7 linked regions of the Tribolium castaneum genome follow. The protein of the gene in region 7 purifies or fractionates together with the protein of the main gene of each other region. This does not show direct contact. Links are inferred from orthologs where the notes say so. Each region holds a gene or a part of one and is shown on either strand. Other genes may lie near its edges.

Region 1 (3,082 bases), on a different chromosome or scaffold from region 7:
ACTGTATCGCTTTCACACTATTCGACAAGTGATCCGTGATCGACTTCTTAATTAAATTGTCTTTATTACTCGACGTGTGCACACTTTTAAACAACTTATTCATGTTTGTTAATTAACCCGAACTTGTGCAAAATCGCAACAGTTTTATCAACCGCAATACCGTGTCGCACGATTGTGAACAAACCGCATTCTGATAAGTCAATAACGGTGGACGCACGTCGTCTCGAATCGTCAAGTCCTAAATTACCACCGTCAAAAACTGCACCAACCTGAGCCCACAAGTCTTGAAATTCGTTGATTGTTAACGAACTTGGCTCGTTGCTTAAATTGGCACTTGTGAGGGCCAAAGGGCGTCCCAAACCGCGGGCCAAAGCCCGAATAAAGTGATAATCGGGGATTCGAATCCCCACTTTAGCGTTAAAACTGAGTGACTTATCAAGTGTGCTTGCACTAGTCAGAATGACAGTCACTGGGCCTGGGAGCAGACTTTCGAGCAAACCTTGGGGCAAGTGCCCGATTTTGGCCCAAGCCTTCACCTGGGGGACGTCCCCGAGACAGATCGCCACAGGTTTGGCTTCGTTGCGCCCCTTAATGCTATAGAGTTTGTTAATTGAGGTTATGTTCGTCGCGTCACAGGCAAGTCCGTAGACGGTGTCCGTAGGGAGGGCGATCACGCGGCCCGACTTTAACAAATCAACGGCTAAAGCCTCAGCATGTGGGTCCCTGATGGGGACGTGCAATGCCATAGAAGCCCGCTTCGGGGAGAGTTTTTTGAAAAGGGGGGCGAAAAAACGCATCGCCTACTCTCGCCAGTTGTGGGCGCATTCGGGGTTGCAGCAGCGGTAGAAGTTGGTCATGGGCTCGTCAGCAGAGCGGGTCTGGACCTGGAGGAAGTAGGCGTGGGGGTGGCTGCATTCTGGACACGTTTCCGCTGTTACGTCGCAGTTTTTCCAGGCGTCTTCGCCGCCGAGCACGTCATCAACGGACTGAAAGCGTGACGGAGTTGGAACAATGATAGTGGGTTATTTGGGTTTTACCTTCACTTGGAAGTACGTGCGATTCGAGATTTTTCCACGAATGGGGAATGACACGGGGCAGATGCGACACGCAAAACCTAATCGGCCGCAGGTCTGTTGAGCGAATAGCAAATTTCCACAGAAAGGACAAAACACAACCATGACCCGTGATTATTATGATGAAATTCAACTTGAATTCACATGTGTCAAAAATTGACAATGACAGCGCACGGTGGGTTGGCAGCGCTGGGGCGAGGGCACCAACACAAAATTCGTATTCTATTTTATTTAAATTATAAATTATAACAAATATTCAGCCACTTACGGCCTTAGTTATTTTGTCAACTAATTACTTCACTAATTTGCTCCGCTTTTTATATAGTCGAATTAAATAAGACATATTTTCAATTAAAATAAACAAGGACAATTTTACAATGATTAATTTAATTTAAAATAATATGGTTCAAACATTTTCCTATACCACATTACTTAACTAAGTAATAAAAAAATTATAAGAATTACAAAGAAAAATAATTAAAAACGTTGTGTTTTATGGGTTGCCTATACTAAACTCGGTGGTATTGAGCACTTGGTTCATTTTGTTAATTTCGTTTTAAAGGTTTTGATTTTTATCTCTCTCGCTAAATGAGAATTCAATATAATTTTTTCAATTTTCCTGACAAAAAAAATAAACACTATGGTAATTGGTTCAAAATCATTAGGATAATTTACAAGGGCCGTAGCCAGCGTAGGGCCCCACAGGGCGAAGCCCTTCCTAAACAAATTTCAGGTCATACGTTTTATAAAAATTTAAATAGAGAAGTTTATAATATTTTTTTTTCTTTCTTTGTTATTACTTAAGTAAATTTTGAAATAGACATCATTTTAGCTATTTCAAAAACACCATAAACATGGATGTTTTTTATTTTTTAAAGTTGAAGCGACAGAGGGTCATCAGATGGACATGCAACATCAAGTATGCATTTTTTTTTTAAGAAAAATATATCTAGTAATAATTATTACTCCACTTGGATTTTGACTTATTTTTAGCAAAATTTAATAACAAACGAGAAAGGAAATTAAGCTTTATGAATTATGTTAGGGGAAATACCTACAAAATAACATACATCGTTTGGCAAAAGTATGAAGCTAATTGTTATGTGCCTAAACTATGTACTTTAAGAAAAACTAATTATTACATTATCAACTACTTTAAAAATATTTTTTTAATTCCTTTTAGTTTTCGATTTTTTTTTCAAATAGCACCCTACTACGGCAATTTATTTTTATATTATATTTATATTTTTTATATTATTTATATTTTGTTTTTCTTCGTTTGTTATGTATTTTTGATCCTTTATAAACTTCATTAATAATAATTTACCAACATGAGTACATTTAAATTTTCTTTGCCCTTCTATTATTCTATTCTACGAGGGTGGGATGATTAAGTCGTGGCCTCACATAGAAAATAATAATTTGGCCAAACATTTTTTGCTTTACTTTTCACTATAACCTCCTTCTAGTTATGTGCACTTGGTCAATCGGTGTTCCGAAGTCTTTATCCCATCCTTATGGGTCGATTCCGGTAACTCTTCAAAAAAATTGCTCTCTATAAGAGACCACGAATTAATCCATCCTTGTATTGATAATTCAGGGAGAAATAAGCCTCATTTAAAAAAAATACAAAAACTAATTTTTGACACTACAGAAGCGATATGTAGAAGATTTCTTATTACAGTTGAAATACTCAATACAGTCGTTCCTTTTTGATGTTTGATCATTGATCAATGATCATATTCTAACTCACACAGTGCACATTTCCTACAGTGCCGTACTGAGCCTCGGATTCGTGGAACACGGGCCCGGGTCCCGATGGCCCTTTCCTTTGTCTAAATACAAATTAAAAAAAAAATAAAAGTTATAATATTTTTTATTAGCCGTTAAAATTAGATTAGAAAGACAAAAAATTGTTTTGTCTGCTTATGAGTACCAAGACTTTTCAATCTCCCCAGAAAAAATAATTAGAAACGGTGGATTTTCTTTATATTACAGTTACACAGGTA
Region 2 (4,698 bases), on a different chromosome or scaffold from region 7:
AACTTAAATTCAAATTTCCACAGCCTGATGAGATATCATTTAATTTGAAAGAGTATATATTTTTTAATTTGTTTTCCTTAGCAACGGTATCGATTATTGCTCTTTTGTTTTCTAGGTTATTGAATTTAATTTATTGTTGAAATTACAAGTTTTTAATTGTTTTGCACATCATTATACATTAATTGTTGTTTTTTTTAATTTGTATTTGTTTAATGTTGCAAGAGCTCGCTAACGAAAGTCAAAAAGTATGATATGAAACAAAAATTAACTTAAAAATTTAAGTTTGAAGACCTAAATCTCGTGAAAGAGGGTTCAAACAATTTTTTGTCATAGGAACTTTTAATTCAGCACCCAAGAAATTGTACGGTACTTTTGAATCACCGTGTATAGAATTCAATTTCACTATTTTTTTATTTTTTTAATTCAGCTTGTAAGCATTTTAGCATTTCAGTCTCTTAATACGAGTATATTGATTTTTTATTTTAGACTGTGTGTTTCAATTATTAGTGTTTCTCATTTTCAGTATCTTCTACTTTCTAGGGAAAAATGCTAGTTGCAGACTAAATTACTTTTTAATGTTGTAATGTTTAAAGTAGTGTAATTTTTTTTTATAAAAAATAGATACAGTGAGTTCATTTTTTGGTTGAAAGAAATTCTTACAGAAAACGAACCAATTTTACACCAGCAAATTTAAAACAATATTTAAGTTAAACGATTAATTAACTTCTTTTTTTATCCCCTTAATTAAACGCTCGAATTTACTTCTCGAGTTTAAATCTTTACGGAGATAAAATACATCTAAGACCCTTATACAATAAATAACAATTTTTTTCAACAAGAAAATTTTTTACAAAAGATATTTCGTTTTGTTTGTTTTTGTAATAGAATGTTTTACAATAAAAAATATGTTTTTATTATTCCTGATGTAGGAATTAAAAAAATATATCGGAAAATACCAGATTTTAACACGTAATTTCTGTTTTTCCAATATTTTTTGCTTCCTAATTAAAGTAAGTTTTAACCTCATAAAACTCCAATCTGTATTAATTAATTATTTCTTAAGCATTTTAAGATGTTATTTTGTGCAAAAAATCCTAAAAGTAATTTTTCCCAATTTTTTATTTTTTAATTTTTAATTAAAAAATATTTAAATACATGCTGCGGTGGTAGATTAAGCTTATTATCAATTTTTTGTCCAAAACCTTGTTTCAGGATAACACTATAAATAATAAAATTTCCATTAGTTTATGTTTATTTTTACTGATATTACTGATATTAATTACTAGTATTAATTACTATTAATACTGATCTTAATATTTTTATAAATAACTCTATAAGGGAGGGTAAAAAATTCTGAAAAAATTCACTTGTGTGGAAAAAAACATTAAATATAAAGCAACACACCGTGATTCCTATGCGATTATTAGTTTTTGAGATATAGTAAAAAATACTTTTAGCAGAAACACTTGCATTGTGTTTAATGTATTTTTTAAAGTTGCAATAACTGGTGGCCACTGATCAAAACGCAATCCGCTTTATTCGCTTTATTTCACAGATGTGTTCACATCACCGACATTGGCATTGGTTACATTTCAACAATGTTGTCTCTATCTGCACTCTATCTGCGCTGGTGTTCACAAATTCGAGACTTTGGACTTCAGCATTTATGCGGAATGAGAAATTTGCAAATACTATCGTTAGCAGGTCTGCCACATACCACAAATAATGACATAAATAACTGAATTCGAAATTTCAGGGTGTCCATTATTGACTTCTAGTGGTTTATCAAGTCTGATTCAGTTACGACATATGAGAGAATTAGAATTAACAAATTGTCCAGGGGCATCAAAAGAACTTTTCGATTATTTGAGAGAACATCTTCCGCGTTGCCTCGTTATAGAATAAGTGAACCACTTGTCCACTTGTTATATTTGATACTAGATTGTGCAATAACACTCGATTATTTTACACACGGCTTTCTTGACCAATCACAAATTGACAGAAAAATAACAACAGATGGCGCCACACAATGTGTTACTGATCAAGAAAGCTGTGATTTTACGGTTTAATTCGGTATCGTTCGTCACCTTGTCTCGTGTTTGATTCGACTTTTCCCTAGTTTTAATTTAGTTAATGTGGTGTAAATAATGAGAATATGTTTCGCAAGTAAATCAGAATGATATTTTACACACGTTCATACTTTATATCCCTTCCATAAAATTAATTACCTTAATTATCCCACCAAGACAACAATCCCAAACCTGGCTCATTTATGCTCCCCTGTGACAAACAAATAATTTTAATCAAGTCATACAAACCCAAGTTTTTTTCTTACAGTTAAACTATACGGCACTTTATTTTCGGACTTGTCTTGTGTTTCTTGTAAACTACCAGTGGGGCAAGTCTCATTAAAAAACTCCGCAGTTACGCGAAATTTGATCGTTTCACCAGCATCCATGAAAAGGTCATGTTTGCACCCGTCTCCTGTGTCATACTCCCACACCCATGCTTGTTCAGTTTCGTTAAACTTTGAAGGGTGCTGAAGGGCACTGGGAGGGATCAAAATATCGTCAAAGAAACCAAGAGTCACTAAAATTCGCAATCATATTTAACATTTCACAATATAATTGTCGTACCGTGAACCCCTTCCTGACTGCAACTCCTGATTTTCCCCACGAGAATCTCCTCAATAAAGGGGCGAAAAACGATGTACCTGAAGCTGACTCTAGTGTGTGAAGCCCCATCACCGGGAAATATAAACGATTCTTGGAGACTGGTAATGTCGTATAAAGCTATACACAAACCAACGTTGAGGACTACCTTAAACTGGGGGTTAAAAGGGGCTGAAATGTGCTTCTAATCTCACCTTGTTTGCTAGTTTTTTGTTTAATTCTCCGGCTATGGCGTCGTTTAGTTTCAAGTTGAACAGTTCGGGGGGTATTCGGGTCACATTTTTCATTTCAGCCACTATAAACATCGTTTAACAATTGTTAAACTTGTTAACAGCTTCGTGAAATTTTGAGGTTGTGTTGCACAGGACGCGCCGAAAACACATGGAATAGTGGTACCAATCTATAAACCCAAATAAACTAACGTATTTTCCAGAGTTTTTAAAATTAATTTCGCAAAGTTATTACAATAAGAAACCCGAATTTGGTAACAATTTACCGTGGGATTAGTTATGCAACTGTTTCAGTAATTGTTTTAAAGCCGAAATTCCGAAAATTACTTTTTGGAGACTATTCATATTTGCAACAGGTTGCATCATTCAAATTTGGAAGTCCCTAGAATTAAATAATTTTTGTTGTGTTTTGTTGTGGTGTGTTTTTGTGAATTTGCACACGTTTTTGCCCTACTTAAGGCCTTTCAGTCGCAATGGCCACCAGGGAGAAAGACCCTTTCGACAGCGACGAGCAAAAACACTCCGATAGTGATGGAGCCCCAAAGCAGACTTTTGAGCCCGAAATCGACAATCCAGAGATGTTCATGAAACCGGCGTGTGAGTGCCAGAACTGCGTCCATTGGACCCAAAGCGCCGACTGGACAACGCCGGATTTGGAGTTCGAGGGGCACCACAAACGTGTTTGCAAAGAGCGGAAGATTCAACCCTTGTTACGATCGGCACGACATCCAGGGAAAACCCCTAAGATCTTCACTTTCAATCCTGGCACATTGACAAAAATTGAGAAACAAAGCTACTTGAAGACCCTAGTTCACGGGTACTTTGCGCCACTTTAGACCAATTAAAATTATTGAAAAATAATTTCAGGGAGGTGATCCCCCAGCCTGTAAAGTTGCTAACAGACACCTACTTTAGCGACGAAATTCAAGCTGCTTTGGGTCGCCTTAACTACAAGTATAGTTTACCAATCCAATCATTCGTCTGGCCCGCAATTTTCAGACAATTGAATGTTGTTATGGTAGGGGGGCCTAAGTCGGGGAAAACCATGTCGTATCTCCCGGCCCTTTGTACCTTCAGTACAGCTGAAGAGGAAAAATATCGACAATTATCAAAGTACAAGGGCCCGTTAGTGGTTATTATTTGTCCAAACAGCAAACATTGTGAAGATGTATACGATTTGATGAAAAAACTGTTTGAAAATAGTGCCACTAAACCAAAAATTGCCCTCATGACATATCCAGTCCACCACATTGTAAGTCACACAGCTTGCCCTTCACGTAGCTGGTCGCATTGTGTGGGGCCATCTGTTGGTTTCCACTGACAAATTCTCTTGTAACCATAGTTACAGCAGATAACCATGGCAATAACACGAATGCGACCAATCGTGTGAAGGGAAACATATCATGAGATCATTAGAATTTATAACCAGAGTGGGCTTATTAGTTTTTTAACTTATATGAAAACGCCGATTATCATAATTAATCAAGCCGAAGAGTCAAGTAATAATACTGTTTCGAACGGTAATACTCAGTTAAAATAGATTTTTCCTTCAGTTTGCACCAGCTTAACAATCACAAAGAAAAAAACACCTACTCTTTTTATAAATTCAAATGATCGCGCTTGACTATTTTTTAGTCATTTGTTATTTTCAGAACAGCGTTGATATCGTGATTACAATCCCCAGCACTCTTACACATTGCCTTAAATCTCGGACTTTTAATTTGAAACGAATGTGTCACTTGGTGTTAGAAGACGCGAGTTGTTTACTAAAAAACAATCACGAAGAAATTTACAAA
Region 3 (3,297 bases), on a different chromosome or scaffold from region 7:
TTTTGGCCATAATGTCGGTGGAAGAGAAGCTCCAGATGGGCCCCAGAACGGGGGTGACGTACCCCTTGCAAGTGATCTACTGTGGCAACTGTTCGATGCCGATTGAGGTTAGTTGTCGCCCCTTCAGACCTTCCGAACTAATTCTTGCCCCAGTATTGCGAGTATTACCCCGAGTATGACAAATGCAAACAATGGCTCGAGCGTAACTTGCCCGATGAGTTCGAAAAAGTGAAAATCGGGGACGAGGCGGGCGAGGGAGGTGGCGCTGAAGAGGAAAAAAAGCGTCAGAAACGTGGGGGTAAAGGCATGATCAAGACGAAGAAGAAGGAGGACGGGCCGAAGCAGGTGTGTGTGTCGAGGGCCCCCCGCGGCAAGAAGAAGTCGGTTACCGTGGTTACGGGGCTTAGTGGGTTTGGTAGGGGGGTTAGGGGGCCCTGAGTGTCTTGTTTGACGCGTTTTTGTAGATATTGATCTGAAAGTTGCGGCGAAATTTTTCGGGACCAGGTTTGCGTGTGGGTCTTCAGTCACAGGTGAGGACGAAATTGTGATCCAGGGGGACGTCAAGGACGATTTGTTTGATGTGATTCCCGAAAAATGGCCAGAGGTACCACACTGACCGAAAAAAGTCACTAGTTATAGGGGCACTTGTTTTTGTTGCAGATTGATGAGGACTTGATTGAGGATTTGGGTGACCAAAAGCGATAACTTATCATAAATTCGTGTATTTATACTTATTCTCAATACATTATGTCGTTTTTCACGCCAGTGTTTTATTATTTACTATCCTAATACAATCACAAAATTATTCCTGCTCCTCTGTTGTTTCGTTTTCTTGGCTTTTTTGGATGTGGGGGAAGTGCTGAAGCACGATCTGTAAAATTTGCTCAACTTGTTCTTCCGTGAGCCTTTCTTCACTTTCTTCAATCATCTAGAAAACACACTTAGAAATAGTCAAATTTTGCGTAAGACCAACCAATTGAATCTCTAAAGCCGTCGTAGGGGGCGAATTAATCAGCATTAATTTCTCATTTTTGTTCAAATTAAACGGCTCCAAGTCCTTCAAACACTCAGTAATTGACTGTGGGCTTTGTTGGGCACAAGGAGTATTTTCCAAGTAACGCAAAGTCTACGAAAAAATTGATGAATGAAAGTCGGCCCATTTACGGCCACTTAATCTAATCACCTCATACGTAATCGTCGCTAATTGCCCCTTGTGTTTTTTCCGGCTGTCCTTAATCCGTTGTAGGTGTTTCATAACCTCGAAATTACTCAAAGTCGCGCTGTTTGCATTAACACTGAAAACACGCCTTAATAATACGTTACTCAAACGTAGCAACTTAGTCTTACATTTCCATCGCATTTAATAATAAAATTAAGAGTGCAAATTGCTTTATTTTTATAATTTTTGAACCACAAATTGGTGACAAATCCAAAAAACCCTAAACTTGTCACAAGTATGGCCAGGCTTCCTAACCTAGCTTTTTTGCGATATTTTTCAAAATACTCCTGTAAATTCGTAAGAGGTCTGATGACGACCCAATCGCGGTGCGAAAAGGCCTTGGACGAGCTTTCCAAAAATGCCTACTACGAGAAATACGCGGACAAAATCGCCAAACTACAAAAAACCTCCCCCCAGGAGTTCCTCTCCCGAATGGACGAACTCAAGAAGGCCAAAGCCCCGAAAAAGAAGCCCGAAACGATCACTGAAGGCAAGTTCTCGCAACTATTAAACCCGAAAAAACCGCTCGGTTCTGTGGAGGCCTCGGAGGCCCCCTTAGACAAAGTCATGAAACTTGACTTAATTAAGGATAAAACCCCGGAGGAAATTAAGGAGATTTGGCACCAGTACCACATACAGAAGAACTACATTGCGGCGGTTGTCCCTGTGGAAGATTACAACGAACTGGAGGCAAGGGGGCGCCAATACCCTACGTTTCTCTTCGCCTTGCCTCGCAAAGAGGGTTACGAGTTTATAATGTCGCAGTTTGAGCGAAACTGCGTCCACTTTACCCCCCTTTTGTACTATCAGGTGCACAAGGAGAACGCCCCCGAGTGCCTCACAATGACGCACTACACCGAACTAAAGGACGAGAAAAAAATCGTCTTGATGCGAGGAGAGTACGACAAGAATGTTATTGATTTGAAGGAGGCCCAGTGTCTCGCAAATCAGTTGCAATTGTATTACGTAAGGCCCACAGAAGCACACTTGGAACTGATGGAGCGGTTCACCAAGCGCCCCGACGAGTTCAAACACATGGACTTGATCAAACAAATCGAGACTTTGTCTTTGTAAATATGTATTATTTAATTCCTAATTGTAAATAAAGTTTGAGTGACATAACCTTACTTTTTGAGTTTTATTTCACCCAATTATTTTCTTGTCCCCAATGTTGATACATAAAGTCGATCATAACATAGCAAATGGCACTATGAGTATGAAATTGAGCGTTTTTTCTTGAATTTTACTGCGAAAATATGACATAACCTAATTTTTTGTTGGGCGAAAATTGGACCAATTTCAAATATTATGATAACTCAAAGGTCCTGTATAAAATGCGATTGTGCGAAATTGCCCAAATGATAGAAATTTTGCCGATTTTTATATTTTATTACCGCTTTTCACTATTTACGTACCAACCTACCAAATCCAAAATTTATCATAACTTGATTTTTTTAAATTTTTATCACTTATTTCACTATTTTCCAACACAAAAGTGCGTTATATTAACTTGAGTTACGTTAAAAAATCGAAAATAACAGTAAGGTGGTACAGTTCACGAACTACGGGTCTGTATTTTCTGACAGGCGTACCAACGCACCCAAATTCAAATCCAAATAAAACGCCATTTTACTTAAAATAATTTATTGAAATTAGGCACTTGATTGAGCTTAGAACCTCTCTTTCGGCTTCCTGAACACTTTCCCGTGCTGCGTATCCTCCAAGCAGGGGATTTGCACTAAATTAAAATAAATGGTCCCCATAATGTGCGCCGTGGGCGAGGGATTTTCCTTGAGACACGAATACAGCTGATCGTCGCACAAACAATGCGATTTCGTGTATAACGAATCATTCGTTATGTTATATCTTTGTGAAAAAGCCCTAACTTTAACGGGACACAAATCGTGCGCTCTGCAGCACTTATCAACGGTGGGCTCGGCCCCCAGGTCGTAGTAGTCCTTGGCGATGTCGCCCGTGCCGCACCACTTCGTCCCTGAAATTGACTGTGTTGGGAAAATTGGGTTGGTACGACTGCCGGGGATTACCAGGGATGATGCCGCTGAGGAGGACAAACGGGT
Region 4 (3,391 bases), about 2.5 Mb from region 7:
CAAAGGACGTCCGTTTTGTCTGACTCGCCAAGTACAGGAGTGGTATTTTGAGCTCAGCTGGGAACTCTTTGAGGCTTTTCCTCGCGTTTTCCTCGCTTTCCAGCGCCTCGGCATACGTTAAATTCGGTTTTCCCGTCATCGCACATGTCCAAATCATCGAATTGCACAGGAACATCCTCTCGGAGAAGTCCCTGAAAAGCCAAGCGTTGAATCGATTCCGATCTCCGATTGCGTTAAATTTGAGGTCGATGGCGTAGGTACAGTGGACCGTTAGGTCAAGCGTTTGAAAGCAACCACGTTCCAAATAACCCGCCGCAAAAACTCACTCGTAATCCCGGAAAATCTCGTTGGTGGCCCCACAGTAGAAAACTTCCTCGTCATCGCGGATATCCTCCGGGACCGGCGCTTTTTCGAAGGGCTTTCTCCTCAAAAGAGGCATCGCAATTTGGAGGGAAAACTCACGACTCCACAACAAGTCTAATCAGAATTGCTCCCACATTTACAACACACACAACGCAACACTGATGGATTAGCAACCAAATCTGACATGAAATGGCGAGATTCAAAGCGAACTAACCGAAAATTTCCGCAATAAAATTGCGTTTCTCACACCATTCATGACAAACAGACAACCTCTTCGGCTTCGGGGCTCCGGCGCATGCGCGGAGCGCAGGTGACTGCCAAAAGCTGTGCCCAAGAACGGACATTTAAAAAACCTGCGACCACCAAAATGTTCCACACTTTTTTGTGGTTATGTTCCCCCACAAACATAACCTTAATTAATTAATACGGGATAAAAAAAACACCAGTTTGTTGCGAAACACTTTATTCGAGCCATTCCGTGAAATAATTACAAACTTTCGGGTTAATAAAACCGGTATCGGCGCACCTGCTGGCTATGGGGCAAACCCCACAAGTGGTTGTCACAATGCCAGGTGTTTGCATAAATTTATTGACCGCTCGGTACAAAAACGAGCCGTTCGTGGCCACAATCCGCTCCGCGTTATTATCCAAAACAACAGTATACAAAATGCTCTCAATATCGTCCACTGACAGCGAAATTTTACTAATCCCCAGCTCGGAAATAAATTTGTGGACGTCTTGCGCCGTGGCGTAGCTCCGGTTTCGGGCCAGGAGCGGGCCGCCCCCCATGCTGTTCGCATCCTCCCACTTCTGGCGCAAATACCGGCAGCACTGTTGGCTCAAAACGTCCACAAACTCCGACTCGAAGTCCTGGTCCTGGTACCAGGCGCCCCCCGTGACCGAACTGTCGGCCTCCAAGTCGTACAACATGTACACTTTTTTCTTACTGGCCGAGACTGACTTTACGGCTTTGATTATTTTTTTCGTCTCGAGACTTTTGAGGACTTTGTTTAGTTGCGTCATGTTGAGGTTGGACTTGAAGCGAATGTCTCGAATCCAAATGCCCTTGTTGCCAGCCTCTTCGATTATCTTAAACACGACTTTTTCCTCGTTGTCGGCCCCCCGAATGGCGGGCTTCTTCGACGAGTCTTTGTATTTGTAGAGGAGCTTGTCTTTGGTCTTGAACAACTCCAAGGAACTGAAAATTTTGGTTAGGAATAGAATTAGGGGGTGATTGCGCCCACGAACCCATTTTTTAAACACTTGTTGATTATCAGGGCGAGTTCTTCGAGGGGTAAATTAGGAATTGCCTGTTTTATGTTCTCGTTTGAAATCCCCTCAGGCTTGGCCTTGGCTAATTCCAGTAAACGGTCTTCGTTACTTATCTCTTCGCTGTTTGAACTCGTAGCTTGGCTCATTTTTGGGGTTATGTGAGGTTATGTTCTAACCTCAAAATTTTGGCCTATTTCTATTTTTGCCGATTTTTTTTAGGAAAAAAGGCAAGAAATGAGCGCCTGGTCTTTGATAAACACATTTAATAGGTGTGGTATAAGTTTGGAGTAATTGGCACTAACTGTGACATTTTTTAGGCTAGCCCTCCAGTCGTGCCCAAGACGGGGAATTGCAACGAGTGTCTTTCTCAATTTTAGGGCAACACCATGTCTCATGTAAGTAATAACGAAACGAGGCCCCCAATTCACCAATTATCTAGGGCCGAGCCTTTGAAGAAGAAGAAAAAACTAGACCCTGCAGTTATTAAAGCACGAGAAGACCGCAAGAAGAAGAAAATTGAGAAGCAAATCCGGCGATTGGAGAAGCACGCGCGCCAGTTCAAACCTATCGAAGAGTGTGAAGTGCCCCTCACTCTGTTAGATGAGAAAAAATCAAGGATGAGGTCTTTGCCTGCACTTTCTGACAGTGAATTGGAACAAAGAGCACTTTTGGACAAACAATGGGCCACTTATCGGAAAAATGAGCATCTTACGGACGTCCAAATGCTGGACCGGATTTTCTTTGCGCAACAAAAAGCCTTGGATGAGCTGCGGAAAGAGTCGGAGGAGTTGTATCAGGAAGCAATGCAGGTGACTGGGGCTTTTTTTCGCAAAATATATTTTTTTGTCCAGATTGATTTCAGATTATTGCCCTTTAAGAGCGAGGGGCCTTTGGAAACGCCAGCTATCGACAATTACGAAAGCCCGGACGGTGATTATGCCGATGTTTCGAAAAAATGGGAATGAAAAGGAAATAAATAAAGTAGGATAATAATAAATAGACAAAATTTGTTTTATTCACACTTCAAAATCACTTCAAATTCACACTTTTTATTATTGTTTACGTAACAAATTACGTGTCCGACCGTTTCAAAATAATAAAAATTGCCCCTATTGTTGGTAATTTGATGGTAAAATTGTCTCAAGGCGCCCTAAACCCCAAACCCAGCACAATGATCCCAGTTCCGGACCGAAGAGATAAAATAAATTTAGCTTATTTACGTCAGCTCATTTGAAATTGTAGGTTAGGTGAATCTATTTTCGTCCAAAATTCAAGAATGTAGATAAAAATTAGCCCCCGAAATGGTGCAAATAATGCTAATTATCGCCGCCGCCCATTTGGTATACTGCCCATTTACCAAAGTGGAGGAAAGCTTCAATTTACAGGCCATGCACGATATTTTGTACCACAAGTGGAACCTGTCTCAGGTAGGCGCCCCTTGTCTCGCCCACAAATAACTGTGTTTCTAGTACGACCATTTGGAGTTCCCCGGAGTGGTGCCGCGGACGTTCATCGGCCCCTTGTTCATTTCGATTTTGGTGGCCCCCATAGTCTCGCTTTTGCAGTTGTTCGAAATTAACAAATTTTGGGCGCAATATATCGGTAATCAAGTTGAAAAATAGTACAAAAATTGTGATTTTTTATTACAGTGCGGTTTGCTTTGGGGGGCTGCGTTATCGCCGCTTTCCACGTCCTGTCCCGCACTTTGGCCAAGATTTTCGGGCCGAAGTGGCAGCTGTGGTTCATGGCAGTGACG
Region 5 (4,758 bases), on a different chromosome or scaffold from region 7:
AATAAAAAGTAGTAGCCCCTCTTCTAATTAATAAAAAAAATTGATTTTTTTTTCTTAAATACTATAAATTATCTTCAGTTGAACTTATGTTTTCACACAGCGTTTATATTTATTTTTTACCTAACAATTACTATTTTCACCCAGCATTTAATTTATTCCAAAAAATTACTGGTAGCAGATGTTAAGTAAACCATATGAAAATGAATGATTTTCTGGCTTTCATAATCGTCAAAAAATAATCAATTGAAAGAGTACTTAAAATAATATTACTAAAGATTATATAAATTTAACAATGTGAGCTCCTATACAGACATGTGCGGACAGATATTTTGTCGGTTATTTATCCGCAATAATATTGTTCGGACAAATGTGCAGACGGCTAACCACGGCCAAAATATAAAAATAAGAAAAACTTACGTCAGATAATTGCTCGTCTGCCGCCCCCTGTGCCCTCATCCCCATAATAATCGTGTCAACACGTTGTTTCTTATCGATAATTCTCTTATGAACCAACCTTTCGTGATTTTTTCTAGTCATAATATTAAATAAAGTTTTATAACACAATTCTAGAGTCATTCGCACGATTTGGTCCAAGTTTGTATAAAACAAAGTGAAGCTTTTATTAGGACCATTACTGGTCGATTTTTTCAAATCCTGGACTTGCAAAAAATTCTCTTCCAGGAGCTGATAAGAGAGCCGTTTTGCTTCTTTAGCCGGAATCATTGCCAGTTGTTGAATCTGATCCGGTTCTATGTATTGTTTCGACTTAACAAGACGGAAAATCCGGGCGGCTTTAGTATCGAATTTTTCCAAAACTATCTGTTCCACAGTCTCCCATGCAAATTGAGTGAACGTCTCTTTCAGAAAAATTTGAAAAGAACCGCCACCTGCCTCTCCCGACTGTCTAATTAATTTAGAACTGTCTTGCTCTAAAAAAAAATATTTGGACTGGCAACAACTTTGACTAACGACTAATGACTAACCCAAGACATTAACGTATTGGTCAAAAAACGCCAAAAGGTGTTGATGAGTGGCTTGTTTCCTTACAAGGTCCCGAATTTCAACAATAGGGACTGGATTCGAGACCTCAGCCCAAGGCTGTGTCCTAATGTACATTTGTTGTAGCAAAAGTCTGACAAATTCACCCGCGTTTTCGTCAAACTTTTTAATAAAAGCATTCACAATTAATTTGTCTCTCATGTCTTGATGAAACCTATCGAAGTTAACAGTCCAGTAAACGCCCTGGTCAGGGAGAGAATCCACTGGTGCTTTATTGCTCTGAACTAAGGCAATTTGTTTAAAATCAATTGTCGGAGGTGCAAACTGTTCCGTCTCTTTTATCACTAAACTAGGAACAGGTTTATCTTCCATACTATACGGCAACCGTATCAAATATTGCGCGGCCAACAATGAAAAAAATTTTTCTCTTAAAGCTAAAATTGTCACGTTTTTGTTATGATCTTTTTTCAGTCTCTCAATCACTTTCAGGATTAATTCAGACGCCGTCCAGTAGCTCCGCTGTAGCAATTCTTCCATAATTAATTCACACTCAGTCCCAAATTTCTTTTTAATTAAATTAATGTATTTGGCGTAGCGCAACATTAATAAAACACGCTCATGTTGCAGTGTATAATTTGCAACGTTTTCATTGCGATTGGGGGTGAACGTGACCAATCTGTACTTTATTAAAATACATAAAGCTTCCTTGACCTACAATTAATAAAATAAGGGGCAAAAAGTGCACAGTTTCATTTAAAATACCTTAGATATGGGCAAATCTGTGTGCTTTTTGATGTACAGAAGGGGCACAGTTCCGTACTGAAACAAGTAAGTGCCCACCTTCTCGACCACGGGGCCGAAACGTTCGAGTAAAATAAGGGAAACTACCCTTCCGTATTGAATCGACATCGGGATCAAATAAAAAATATTGCAATGTGATTACTTAGAAAAAATTAGGTTAGGCTGCTTGTCAAAATGTAGAAATACAGGTTTCTTTGTTACCGGGAAAATAATCAGTGGTCCGTGGGTTTTAATTTAATTTAATTAGGAACTAATTTATTGTTTCTTAGTGCAAAGCAACCTAATTCGAATTACTTTAAGTTGGAATTAAAAGTTTCATTTGCTTCGTCTAGGCCATACACTTGTTATATATTTGGTTGCATAAGCAGTTTTTGAATCCTGAATAATAAACTTTTTTTATTGTTAAATATGCAAACGCTTGCCTAAATACATTTTTAAATCGGCAATCGAATTGATTTATTGTTAAAAAACCTGCCACAAGTCCATTAACTGATGTAAATTATTGGCAATAAATAATCCTAATTACATACAGGCATCGGGCCTTCAATTCAGTTTTGAAATTTTTCAATAATAATTTTGTAATTGAGTCTCGTGAAAAATTCATTAGGCATAGGCGCTAAGAAGGTGTAACCTCCATATGCAATTTTTAAATTGTTTACAAATAAGTTTATTAAAAATTTATAAGCAGAAGGTGATGATGAGGTGCGATTTATAGAAACAGATGCGTCGTCGGCTTGTGGGTTTACGAATCCATATTTATGAGATTGTTCATAATTCAATTAATTACAAATTATTCATATAATTTATGTCGTTTTGACTTTACCATTGTGCAACTCCGATGATGGTTTACTTATAAATTGTACTTGCAACTCGACTTTACTACTTTATTAAAAAAAACACGTGGACTTGTAGGTGGCTTAAATCACGACTACTCAAAACACAAATCCGCTTATTAAAAAATAAAGTAAATAAAATTTGAATAAACAAATTTAAGGTCACACATGTGAATAATTGCACAAAATGTTGGCTCCGCCACACCCTCAAATCGTTACTACAAAAAAGTCATAAACAAATGACATCAATTCAATTAGTAAATCAATATAAAAGTAGCAAGTCACGTAAAATAATCCAGAAAAAAATTTAATATCAAGTTTTTTAACCCAGTCATATACAGCAGGTCCATAAATTATTGCCTAAGTAGATGTGACAGGAAGGGGAGCTAGACGGCTTGGTAACAAAAACTGCACGCATGACAAATGATACCGGTCGATTTAAACCGAATTCCTTCATGCCATGAATAAACCGGCAGTGATTCTCAAAACCCACCACAAAAGAAGATTTAACATATTTTAACTCATTAAAAAAATATGAAACTGTGGTGGCTCCTAAACCTGAATATTTTACCCAAAGTAGCCTAAGACTTGAAATTAAGTTGGCAACGTTGACACGAAATTGAAGAGCCCAATGTTGCCAATTTAATTCGATCGTCGTAGGCCACTTGATGACAATGGCATTCTGATATGATCTGCGCCGCCCCCAAACTTAATTTAAATGTTTATTGAAGCATAAGTCGCCTGAAGAAAATATCATCGATCGCCTCGGAAGCTGCAGCAGCCTATGGAAAAGCTTACCTACTCCCACTCTCTTTTTGTGCTTTATCCTCCCGTGTATTCGATAGCGAAAGCGTGCTGTAGAAACAACTGAACATCGCTCACACAGCGTGTCTAGTCGCCGGTGGATTGTGATGTTCTAAATTTTCTCGTCTCGCCGTCTAGATCCTGTCAGAAATTTTAAAATTTCGACGTTTCATGTGACAGTGACAGCATCTAATGAATTAAAGTCACAGTGAATTTTATTTTACGAGCAAAAAATAATGAAATAACTAGAGTCGGTCTAAAGTGTCGTCTACCTGTACGAGGGGTAAGTGGGATTTTCTCTACTTAAATTATTTACCTAGAAGTCTAATGCCTGGCGAGTGGTTTTAATTAAATTTATAGTCCTGCATTTCTAAAAACCATAAAGATATAAAAGTGTCCTCGGTGAGTTATTGCTTGATAAAGACACTTTAATGAGTTGAAAAGTTAAGTAATATTTAAAATAAATTACTTTAATGTCTGTCATTAAACAATTTTCATTCCTCAAATTTCTGGTGCATTTTTCTGTACAAGTTAATTATGTTGTTCAAACCATACCGGTTACGTGTAGGGGAAATAGTAATTAAGCTCTCCAACCCCTTGACATCACGCCCTCGTCTGTATTGTCTAGACCTGAAGTTATTAGAACTAGTTGTTAACAAACCAAAAATATCTTCAAATCACGATAAACTGTCTTTTTCTTAAAAAAAACCTTATCTTTTTGGAATTAACTGATACCAATGTTTGCCCAAAAATATGGCTAAACAATCAAATGCCAGTTCCCTAAGTAAGGACTACATTTACTTTTAAACCAACATTTGCATACTGTAATTATAATAATTTAAATAATAATGATTAATCTGTCTATTAACTGGAGATTAAACTGTCTGGGCTTGTTTATTTATCTCCTGACACCTTTGAAATTAATGTATTGTTACATAATTAATTTGTTTAACAAGGAAAAATAGTCATTATTTTTTCTTTATAGTCGGATTATATGTTCTGTTGCTTTAATTAAACGAACAAATTGTATAATAATCGGCGAGAAATGAAGTTGTGTATAAACTTTTACAATGGCAATTGCTGATAAAATGTTTGAATGCAATTTCAGATAAATATTTGATTCTAACACACCTATTTCATAATATCTGATAATTGATAAACTACTGTTTCCGTTTTTGAAAAAAATAAATTCCTGAGAACTGAACAAATAATTGATTTTGAAAAGAGCGACCCCTATTCAGGCAAATACTAATTAGTCATAAGTGTAGGTAATATCTTATTTTTCGCAAAATTCTCGAGAAAAAATGTTTGTAAATAAAAT
Region 6 (4,165 bases), on a different chromosome or scaffold from region 7:
GCAAAAATATATAGTGTGTTGCATTTAAAAAAATGTAACTTTAGTTCACCACACTGTATACAACACCCTGTGTATAACAAAAATATTTTTAGTACAGAATAGTAATATTTCAAATAGTAAAAAAGTTATAGACCGATTACACACTGCTGGGTCACCCTGTATTAAATACCTGTTAAAAGTCTAACATTTGTGCCAAGTTTTATCAAAAAATTTCTATTTCTTCTTGGTGTTGCAATCTTTATGACACTGAGTATATTTTTCTAATAGAATGCTATTATTTTTTTGAGCTCATTAAGATGCCTTTTTCGCTTCTTCGTGTCCTCAAAGGTTTTTTTAGTTCAGTTTAGGGATTGCTGTTAAAAAAAAAACAAAAAAATCGGTTTTACACCTTTATTTTTTAAAAATTAGTAAAAAATAGAAACAGTGCTTTTTTGATGACATTATTATCACGTACGTCTTAAATAAGGCCTAACAGGCTTATTAACTGAGTTTGATTGATCTGAATTACTACAGAGTGTTTACAATTTTTTTTCAAACTTCTTAAAATTTAAAGTCTGTAGCACCCTGTACAGGTGGTCCAGCCCAGCTTCCATCTTCGGTGGCTCAGTTATTATTTAACAATTTATACTCTAGGATTTCAAAAAAATATTTTTGTTTATACATAGTGTCACAAAAAAGTATGACATCATAATAATAATTTTTATGGCATACTACTATTACTACATTAAGATGCCTTTCTAGCTTCTTACATGTCCCTAAAGTTTTTTAATCGGTTTTATTACTACTTTACCAGAAACATGAAATATGATCAAAAAAACTCATTTTTCTCACGAGTTCTTTTATCTGTAAGATGATGCAATAAAAGCTGTATATTTTTGAAAAACACAAAAATAAATAAGGAAAACTTGAAATAATTAGCAATCACTAGCACAAACACTAGAAATAACAGATAAGTACTTGTGTGATATCAACTTATCTAGTCATTATTATTATCTATTCCGGAGTCTGGGTGGTTCTAATCCATACAAAAATAACACAACAGATGTAGTAAGATAAAAAGTAATATGAAATCAACTAAATCTATCAACATGCAGTAAACAATAACACTAACACTGAATCCAGTTCCACAAATTTATGTTTTTGTCTCTAGAACAAAAACTTTAAAATTAATCCCTCACTAATCTGGCATCATTTCTTGCAATAATTTTGTTAATCTCTGTTAAAAAACAAAAAATAAGCAACATATCCCACTTGAACCACCAACTTATTAACGAGTTGATATCACAGTATAATATCTACAACTCACCGGTTTAGAGGTTTCCTTGTAATAATTACGTTTATTAATCCATTTCACACAGTTTTAAAACATTTATCAACTGTATTTAACTTTGTACAAGCCCTTTACCACTTTTGAAACGAGACAACACGTAAAATGTCAACACCTGAAATAATTGGTACGACTGACACAGAGTTGGAAAAATTGAAAGTCACTAAACTGTGCGCTTAGAATCCTATGGTTTTTGAGTCTTTTTTTTTGAGTTTTTGAAAAATATAAAAACACACCAAATTCCTACAAGTTTTCTTTTAATTGAACGTAAGGACTAACACTAGGACACAAAAAAGTGTCTGGGTTCCAAATACACGAAACAAGAAGAGAGTATCAAATGCACATTGGGTCGAAAGCGCGCACCAGAATCAAAAATCAAAAAAAGAATTTTTTAACACATTCAAAAAAAGGTCATGGAGTAAATACAATTGCCATGTATAATTACATAAGTGTACTATAGTAGATAAGAACCATTAATAAAAGTGTAAAAAACCGGTTAATTATTTTACGTAACCTCACATTTTTTGTGACTTGAGGTGATATATTATCGTGGATTTGTGGCCTAATTAATATTAATAAATGGTGGGTTTGTGATTTCACGTAAGTCATTTAATATTTTTGTCATTTTTTGCACTATAACACATTTGTTAGGTTTCCAAAAAAATTAAGTGAGGTTATCATACCCACACGTGGGCCCCCCGAAAATGAAAAAACAAAAATTATTAAAAACTTTTAATTTAAACGAATTAAACTCGTTAGTTGAGGATAAGAATTCGTGTGTGGAATTACTTACCCTCCAGGAACACATAGCCCTCCACCCTTACCACTTGAACGATTTAAATAATTCAGTTAAGGAGATCCTCAATTCAAGGATAGGGAAGTTTAGTGCCAGGTTTTGGGTAAAAATGAAAGTTTTGCCAATAGTTTTAATAATTTATTTGTAGATTAGATGGGATTCTGTGTGGTTACAAAAATACAAAATTGTTGTCAAAAGCAGGAAAAATCTGTGATGATTCTTGCTACATTCACGCCGATATTGAGGCCGAATTCTTCATTTTTAAGCCTGTGGAAGGTAAAATACTGGAAGGTGTCGTACACAAAAAGACTAAAGATCATGTTGGTTGTCTGGTACATAAAATTTTTAATGTGTCTTTGCCAAAGCCCAAGAAACATGAGTGGTTGGGCGAAAATTTGAACCCTGGCAGTAGAATACAACTAGAAATCACGTCAACAAATTTCGAGGGAAAATTGCCTTACATTAAAGGTAGAATTATGTAAGTTTATTTTTCATCATACAACTACATAGTGAGTCTGCTAAAAGTATTTCTCACCATATTTTAAAAAGTAATAGTCGCCCAAAAGTCAGCGTTATTAAATTATTAAATACTTTATATTTTTTTCTATACATGTGTTTCTTTTTCAGAATTTGTTTACCCTTTCTTATACGAATAATTGAATTTTTTATTTTTACTTAATTATTTTTTTTGGGGGTTAGTTACAGTTTTTTCAGCAACATTTAATTAACCATCGCTTGTTTTCAGGTGACACAGGAAATAAAAAAAATGTAGATAATTAGTAGTGCTTAGTTAATTTATTTATTGATTTTAATTGTACGGAATTGTAGAAAAATTCTGAAAAAAATCACAAGCACAGAAAAAAATATAAAGTATTTACTAGCAAACGCTGAATTCTGTGGGACTAGTTTTTGAGATGTAGTAACAAATATACTTTATAACAGACTCACCCTGTAGACAAAACTTAATTCAATTAATTGTAGCAATGTTTTGGACGCGACTCCAAACGTATTAAACGAGTCGAACAATAAAATAGTTTTTGAAGAAAACCTTGATGAGACAGTGACAAAAAGTAGTAAGAAGAAAGCGAAAAAAATTATTTTTGATGAGTCGTTCAATGACGAGAGTCTTAATTTTGACACATTAATAAAAGAAGGTAAATTTTTTATTAAAAAAAATTCTTACAACTTCTTGACAACTAATTTCAGAACCTGAGATAAGTTTAAAGAAGAGTAAGAAAAAAACTAAACGTAAGGCGGAAGTTGACGAAGATATTGAACCACCAATCAAAAAGAAAAAGAAAAAACATGTACAAGAGGATTCTTCATAAAATTGTTCCACAAATACATGAAATAAAATATAAAACACAATTCTTTTCTTTGTAAATGCCTCAATTTTTTTTAAATAATTCAGGCTTGAAGAGCTGGGCGTTCTTGCTTGGCTTCCAGTTCCACATTAGTTTGGGCATAGCCTGTACCCCCCTATAATAAAAACCGCATTACTTTTGTTACAAATTGAAGTGTTACTGTTTTACCCTCTGCATTACAATGATGTCTTTTTCTGTCAATTTTTTGCTAGTGAGCGGATGTATCCAATCTTTTTTTATAATTTTCTCCACACATTCTAGCGTAACAACGTCACCCCTAAAAGTACGGTCATTTTTTTATTTAGTGTTGTTAATAAGTTATTAACTTACGTTGGTTTGAGAACAGCACAGGGAACTGAGTTACTTAAAACATCGTGTGTTACAGCACACATGTAACGACATTCTTTCGCAATTAAGGATTTTTTGTCGCCTGAATCCTTGATTGGAGTGAATTTGACGTCAATTAAGTCTTTTACTTTGAGGGGTTTCCCCGAAATGGGGCACAATACCACATTGTCCTTAACAAACAAAGTAATTACTTTTGAGGGAAATATGTTTAGTCGGTCATAACATTTTTTAACCAAAAAAAAATAATAACCAGACCCCGCGCTGAAAAAATTACAAGTTTTTAGCACAAAAATAACTCCTCTCCGGCCAATTTCTGTGATTTTTTTCGTC
Region 7 (3,603 bases):
CGAGATTTTGCCACTGTCGTGTGTGCTTCAAAGCAACGACACCGACGACGAAATCGCCCCAATTTGCTCGAGTTTGCTCGCAGTTTTGGCCTACACCATAACTATTGACAAATACATGCCTTCGGCCCTTGAAGCAATAAGAAAAGTTGCCACTTGTCCGTTCTGGTCGGCTCGTGCGGTTATAACCGAATTCATGTCCGGTTTTGTATTCCACAATATGCCCACGATTATTTCGAAAAAGGAGTGGGTACTAGATATACAACACATGGTGCTAGAACTACTCGAAGATGTTCAACCTGAAGTTAGAGTTAGTGCTAGTCAAGTTTTAAGCGGTCTTTTGCACTGCCAATTTATTCCAAACCCTCAAGAATTATTAGTAATTATTCGGGTTCTTAGTTTATCGTTAAATAATTCGTGAATTCTAGGCGCAATTTAAACAGAAAGCGAAAACTAAATTGAAGAAGAAAAATTTGAACAATTCAAACAGTTTGAATCTTAGTACTTTAAGATTTAGACATGCTGGAGTTTTGGGCTTGTGTGCTTTTATCAATAGCCATCCATACGACGTACCTGACTTTTTACCGGATGTTTTTGGACAATTAGGACCCCATTTGAACGACCCCCAACCCATTCCTGTGAGTCACACTTTCGTCGTTTAAAAAAATAATTAATAATTTTTAGGCAACAATTCGCAAAACCTTGGGAGATTTCAAGCGAACGCATCACGAAAACTGGGAAATCCACAAACTCAAATTTACTGAGGAAGAACTGTTAGTTTTAAGTGATCTCACAGTGCCTCCCAGTTATTACGCCTAGGCAATAATTTTCCGATTCCAGTCAATTTACAATTTAATTTTTTACTAGACAATAGGTGAAGGAAGGTTTAAGGTAGCAAAAATTTACGCGTCAAATGTTTTTTATTTTTAACCTTGTTCATTATATTTTTTGTGGTTTGATAAAAGTATATTAAGTGAAATGTTTATACATGACTTAATTCATCTAATAAAGCAAGACATTTGTCTTTTAATATTTTAACAGCTTCCATGAATATCACATCAGGTGGTAAAGCCCCCACAGATTCGACCGTAACTAAATTACAATTAATAAAAACTGAAAAAGTAAATAAAAAAAAACTTACAAATGAAATGATCCTGAATTTTGGTCATCGCTACTGCGTCCTTGAGGTCTTCATAACGGAAAACATTCCGACTTCCTGTATCATACCTCGCATTAGCTACAACAGCGTATTTGCGGCCTTTTTCATGTCGGATTGAAATCACACCGGGAGAGAAACATTTTTGGAGTCTCTCAGCTGCTTCACCTTCCACTTCTCGTAATAATTTTATGTCGGGAAGAAGGCGATAAAATGCGGTTGCGACAGGAGAAAATTTCGCATGGTCTCGCCCGTTGCTCTTGACTGCTAATAATTTTAAATCTAACTCATGGCCTGGCCTCATTTTGGCAATGAGAATGTCAGGGTGGATGGGGCCCACGTCACTAAACCGCTCCTTCTGTTTACCAATGGGCACCCATTTGATGTGTTTTGAATACACTAAAATTATTGCAATTTTTATTGTTTCTCAAACGGGGTAATTACCATTATTGTTTTTGTACATATCTTCAGCTCGCAGTGAGTCTTTACTGCTGTCTTTATTATTGGTACATTTAATTTTTAACGCAAACTCTAGAGTATCCTGTTCGGTACCTTCAGCAGTTGCTGTAAAAATATTGTAACGTTTGGAACGGCAACATTACAAGACTTACGATCAGTTTTCATTTCAAATAATCGGGGGTCGGCCTTTAGCGGTATCAGGCCTAAACGATGGGCCAAAACTTCGTCTTGGATTATAGACGTGTTATTAAGAATGTGAACCTTTTCAATGGCCATTGTGGGGACATCACTCAACATTAACCTTCTGAAAGTGTTTGCTAGGAACGGGTGAATCCCTATCAAGTCAAATTCGAGTTCATTCTCTTCACTTCGCACAATCACCACCCTAAATCTCTTCTTAAAGGTTTTCAAGTCCCATTTCTCGTCCAAAACAGTTGGTTCCGAGGGCAAATTCTTCAAAGGATGTTTGAAGGAATTTAATACAAAATAATAAAGGACATACCTGCGTCACTTTATATTCTCCTAAAATCACTCGAGGCTTTTCGTCATTCAGAATATTATCCATTTTAAACTTGTTTCAAAAACTTGGATAACCTCAAACAACGCACGTTTTTCGTAAAAATGACTACCAACCTTACCGTCCTTACCACCCAAAAGCCACTTAAAATGTCAGCTTTTTAGGTTATGTTTTGTGAAAAATATAAACAATTTTTGAAAAATATGACGAAACCCGAATGCTCCAAACAGGAAGCTTCAAACACGAAAAGCAAGGCTGAAAAAGACTCACAAATAAGCACACCTGAAACGGCTAAGGCTCTGTTTGCCGATTTTGTGCCAGAAGAGTCAGACAGCGAAGAAGAAAATGAGAAACAAGACGACAAAAAAGACGAAAATCTTGAACCAGCGTCAAAGAAATCACGAGACAGTAACTCGAAGGTAAGTCACCAGTACACCAAATGAAAAACCAACCACCTTCCCGCAGAAATACATACCAAAGTACAAAAAAGAATGGGAGAATAAACCCGAATTGAAAGCATGGTTATCAGAGAGCATACATGGAAATACGTATTTCTACTGCAAATTCTGTAAAAAGGATTACAGATGCGGGATTTCCGACATTCACAAACACATGTCGTCAAAGAAACATGCCCTCAAAGCGGCAATGCCTGCATTCAAGGCACAGAAATTTAAATTTCGGGGGCTTTTGTGCCCCGTCTTTACCCCATTTACTAACTTAAAAAGAGTGACACCTGATGTAAACCTTAAGGCTATACCAAAATACGCAAATTTTTTAAAAGCTTGCAATATTAAAGGAATTTTAAGTATTTCGCAACTCTAGAAAATGAATTAAATTAAATGGTCAATTTTAGTTAATGACATAACCGGGGAAGGAATGTCCTTAACCATTCATGAAAGAATAGATTTGGCGGACGCGTGGGCTGACGCTTGTGAAAAAACAAATCAGTTTTTGATGGCACAAATCGGGGGAGCCCCCCTCAAAGACGTTATAGAAATGGTAGTTTAAACATTTGTTAAAACTGTTAATATTTTTCATTTGTAGGCAAAACACGCCGCTAAGAGGGACATCGGCGCTGTTGTAATCCTCCCCGACCTTTACAACAAACCAAAAAACCACCTAGACCTAATCAAGTACATAAAATTAATATCAGAATTTACAAAAAACGTCCCCATTCTCTATCACCACAATCCCAAGTTTACGCAAGTTGAAAGTAAGCGTTTCGAACGATGAACAAGACACGAAAAAATTCATTTTTAGTTGATATTACGTCGTTTCTGCTGGATATAACGGGAGAAGTGGATTCGTTTGTAGGCGTCATTTATAGCACGAATGATATACAACAGAGCACCGCTGCTATGGCGGTAAATAGGGAAAAGTTTACCGTTTTTATGGGCACCGACGAAGTAGGGGCTTTATGGCCATATCTCCCACTTAATTTCCACTTTTAGGCAATTTTGGGGGCTGCTGCGAG

Evidence for each region.
Region 1: the proteins of Polr1C (region 7) and Polr3K purify together in Homo sapiens (affinity purification with mass spectrometry; 4 studies listed by BioGRID and IntAct, counting the BioPlex papers as one, with this or other methods). This does not show direct contact. The link is inferred for Tribolium castaneum from reciprocal best matches to the Homo sapiens genes POLR1C and POLR3K.
Region 2: the proteins of Polr1C (region 7) and Polr3H purify together in Homo sapiens (affinity purification with mass spectrometry; 5 studies listed by BioGRID and IntAct, counting the BioPlex papers as one, with this or other methods). This does not show direct contact. The link is inferred for Tribolium castaneum from reciprocal best matches to the Homo sapiens genes POLR1C and POLR3H.
Region 3: the proteins of Polr1C (region 7) and Polr3I purify together in Homo sapiens (affinity purification with mass spectrometry; 5 studies listed by BioGRID and IntAct, counting the BioPlex papers as one, with this or other methods). This does not show direct contact. The link is inferred for Tribolium castaneum from reciprocal best matches to the Homo sapiens genes POLR1C and CRCP.
Region 4: the proteins of Polr1C (region 7) and Polr3F purify together in Homo sapiens (affinity purification with mass spectrometry; 4 studies listed by BioGRID and IntAct, counting the BioPlex papers as one, with this or other methods). This does not show direct contact. The link is inferred for Tribolium castaneum from reciprocal best matches to the Homo sapiens genes POLR1C and POLR3F.
Region 5: the proteins of Polr1C (region 7) and Polr3C purify together in Homo sapiens (affinity purification with mass spectrometry; 5 studies listed by BioGRID and IntAct, counting the BioPlex papers as one, with this or other methods). This does not show direct contact. The link is inferred for Tribolium castaneum from reciprocal best matches to the Homo sapiens genes POLR1C and POLR3C.
Region 6: the proteins of Polr1C (region 7) and Polr1F purify together in Homo sapiens (affinity purification with mass spectrometry; 3 studies listed by BioGRID and IntAct, counting the BioPlex papers as one, with this or other methods). This does not show direct contact. The link is inferred for Tribolium castaneum from reciprocal best matches to the Homo sapiens genes POLR1C and POLR1F.

Annotation. Positions count from the first base shown.
Region 1 is NC_087403.1:7,844,207-7,847,288, reverse strand, and holds Polr3K (DNA-directed RNA polymerase III subunit RPC10), read right to left. Parts: upstream 1,264-3,082; 5' UTR 1,179-1,263; coding exon 1,038-1,178; intron 987-1,037; coding exon 801-986; 3' UTR 798-800; downstream 1-797. Other genes in the region: Plekhm1 (pleckstrin homology domain-containing family M member 1), read right to left, coding at 1-103; Tcs1 (threonylcarbamoyl-AMP synthase), read right to left, coding at 96-797. UniProt on the Homo sapiens protein: Core component of RNA polymerase III (Pol III) which synthesizes small non-coding RNAs using the four ribonucleoside triphosphates as substrates. Can mediate Pol I proofreading of the nascent RNA transcript.
Region 2 is NC_087394.1:25,644,048-25,648,745, reverse strand, and holds the start of Polr3H (DNA-directed RNA polymerase III subunit RPC8), read right to left. Parts: upstream 3,072-4,698; 5' UTR 2,978-3,071; coding exon 2,867-2,977; intron 2,821-2,866; coding exon 2,637-2,820; intron 2,590-2,636; coding exon 2,336-2,589; intron 2,281-2,335; coding exon 2,230-2,280; 3' UTR 2,229-2,229; intron 2,188-2,228; exon of another isoform or gene 1,906-2,187; coding exon of another isoform or gene 1,757-1,905; intron 1,705-1,756; coding exon of another isoform or gene 1,556-1,704; intron 1-1,555. Other genes in the region: F-box/LRR-repeat protein 16, read left to right, coding at 1,556-1,704, 1,757-1,905; putative ATP-dependent RNA helicase TDRD12, read left to right, coding at 3,376-3,719, 3,770-4,154, 4,555-4,698.
Region 3 is NC_087399.1:3,366,535-3,369,831, reverse strand, and holds Polr3I (DNA-directed RNA polymerase III subunit RPC9), read right to left. Parts: upstream 1,457-3,297; 5' UTR 1,356-1,456; coding exon 1,348-1,355; intron 1,296-1,347; coding exon 1,184-1,295; intron 1,127-1,183; coding exon 974-1,126; intron 929-973; coding exon 803-928; 3' UTR 707-802; downstream 1-706. Other genes in the region: DENR (density-regulated protein homolog), read left to right, coding at 12-107, 154-415, 465-604, 661-705; ATP synthase mitochondrial F1 complex assembly factor 1, read left to right, coding at 1,457-2,293. UniProt on the Homo sapiens protein: DNA-dependent RNA polymerase catalyzes the transcription of DNA into RNA using the four ribonucleoside triphosphates as substrates.
Region 4 is NC_087396.1:20,821,054-20,824,444, forward strand, and holds Polr3F (DNA-directed RNA polymerase III subunit RPC6), read right to left. Parts: upstream 1,782-3,391; coding exon 1,612-1,781; intron 1,562-1,611; coding exon 826-1,561; 3' UTR 810-825; downstream 1-809. Other genes in the region: Acf (bromodomain adjacent to zinc finger domain protein 1A), read right to left, coding at 1-191, 327-439; mRpL40 (large ribosomal subunit protein mL40), read left to right, coding at 1,870-1,904, 1,953-2,030, 2,075-2,444, 2,487-2,600; Alg12 (dol-P-Man:Man(7)GlcNAc(2)-PP-Dol alpha-1,6-mannosyltransferase), read left to right, coding at 2,937-3,062, 3,105-3,237, 3,285-3,391. UniProt on the Homo sapiens protein: DNA-dependent RNA polymerase catalyzes the transcription of DNA into RNA using the four ribonucleoside triphosphates as substrates.
Region 5 is NC_087402.1:6,496,446-6,501,203, reverse strand, and holds the start of Polr3C (DNA-directed RNA polymerase III subunit RPC3), read right to left. Parts: upstream 3,144-4,758; 5' UTR 1,909-3,143; coding exon 1,762-1,908; intron 1,711-1,761; coding exon 984-1,710; intron 930-983; coding exon 418-929; intron 1-417. UniProt on the Homo sapiens protein: DNA-dependent RNA polymerase catalyzes the transcription of DNA into RNA using the four ribonucleoside triphosphates as substrates.
Region 6 is NC_087394.1:6,583,155-6,587,319, forward strand, and holds Polr1F (DNA-directed RNA polymerase I subunit RPA43), read left to right. Parts: upstream 1-1,678; 5' UTR 1,679-1,927; intron 1,928-1,978; 5' UTR 1,979-2,031; coding exon 2,032-2,219; intron 2,220-2,271; coding exon 2,272-2,601; intron 2,602-3,104; coding exon 3,105-3,277; intron 3,278-3,329; coding exon 3,330-3,451; 3' UTR 3,452-3,491; downstream 3,492-4,165. Other genes in the region: nitric oxide synthase-interacting protein homolog, read right to left, coding at 3,531-3,602, 3,656-3,764, 3,818-4,005. UniProt on the Homo sapiens protein: Component of RNA polymerase I (Pol I), a DNA-dependent RNA polymerase which synthesizes ribosomal RNA precursors using the four ribonucleoside triphosphates as substrates.
Region 7 is NC_087396.1:18,341,077-18,344,679, reverse strand, and holds Polr1C (DNA-directed RNA polymerases I and III subunit RPAC1), read right to left. Parts: upstream 2,290-3,603; 5' UTR 2,178-2,289; coding exon 2,115-2,177; intron 2,066-2,114; coding exon 1,765-2,065; intron 1,718-1,764; coding exon 1,598-1,717; intron 1,553-1,597; coding exon 1,139-1,552; intron 1,090-1,138; coding exon 980-1,089; 3' UTR 899-979; downstream 1-898. Other genes in the region: proteasome activator complex subunit 4, read left to right, coding at 1-376, 426-635, 682-816; N-acetylneuraminate lyase A, read left to right, coding at 2,297-2,548, 2,595-2,934, 2,983-3,128, 3,174-3,342, 3,390-3,535, 3,581-3,603. UniProt on the Homo sapiens protein: DNA-dependent RNA polymerase catalyzes the transcription of DNA into RNA using the four ribonucleoside triphosphates as substrates.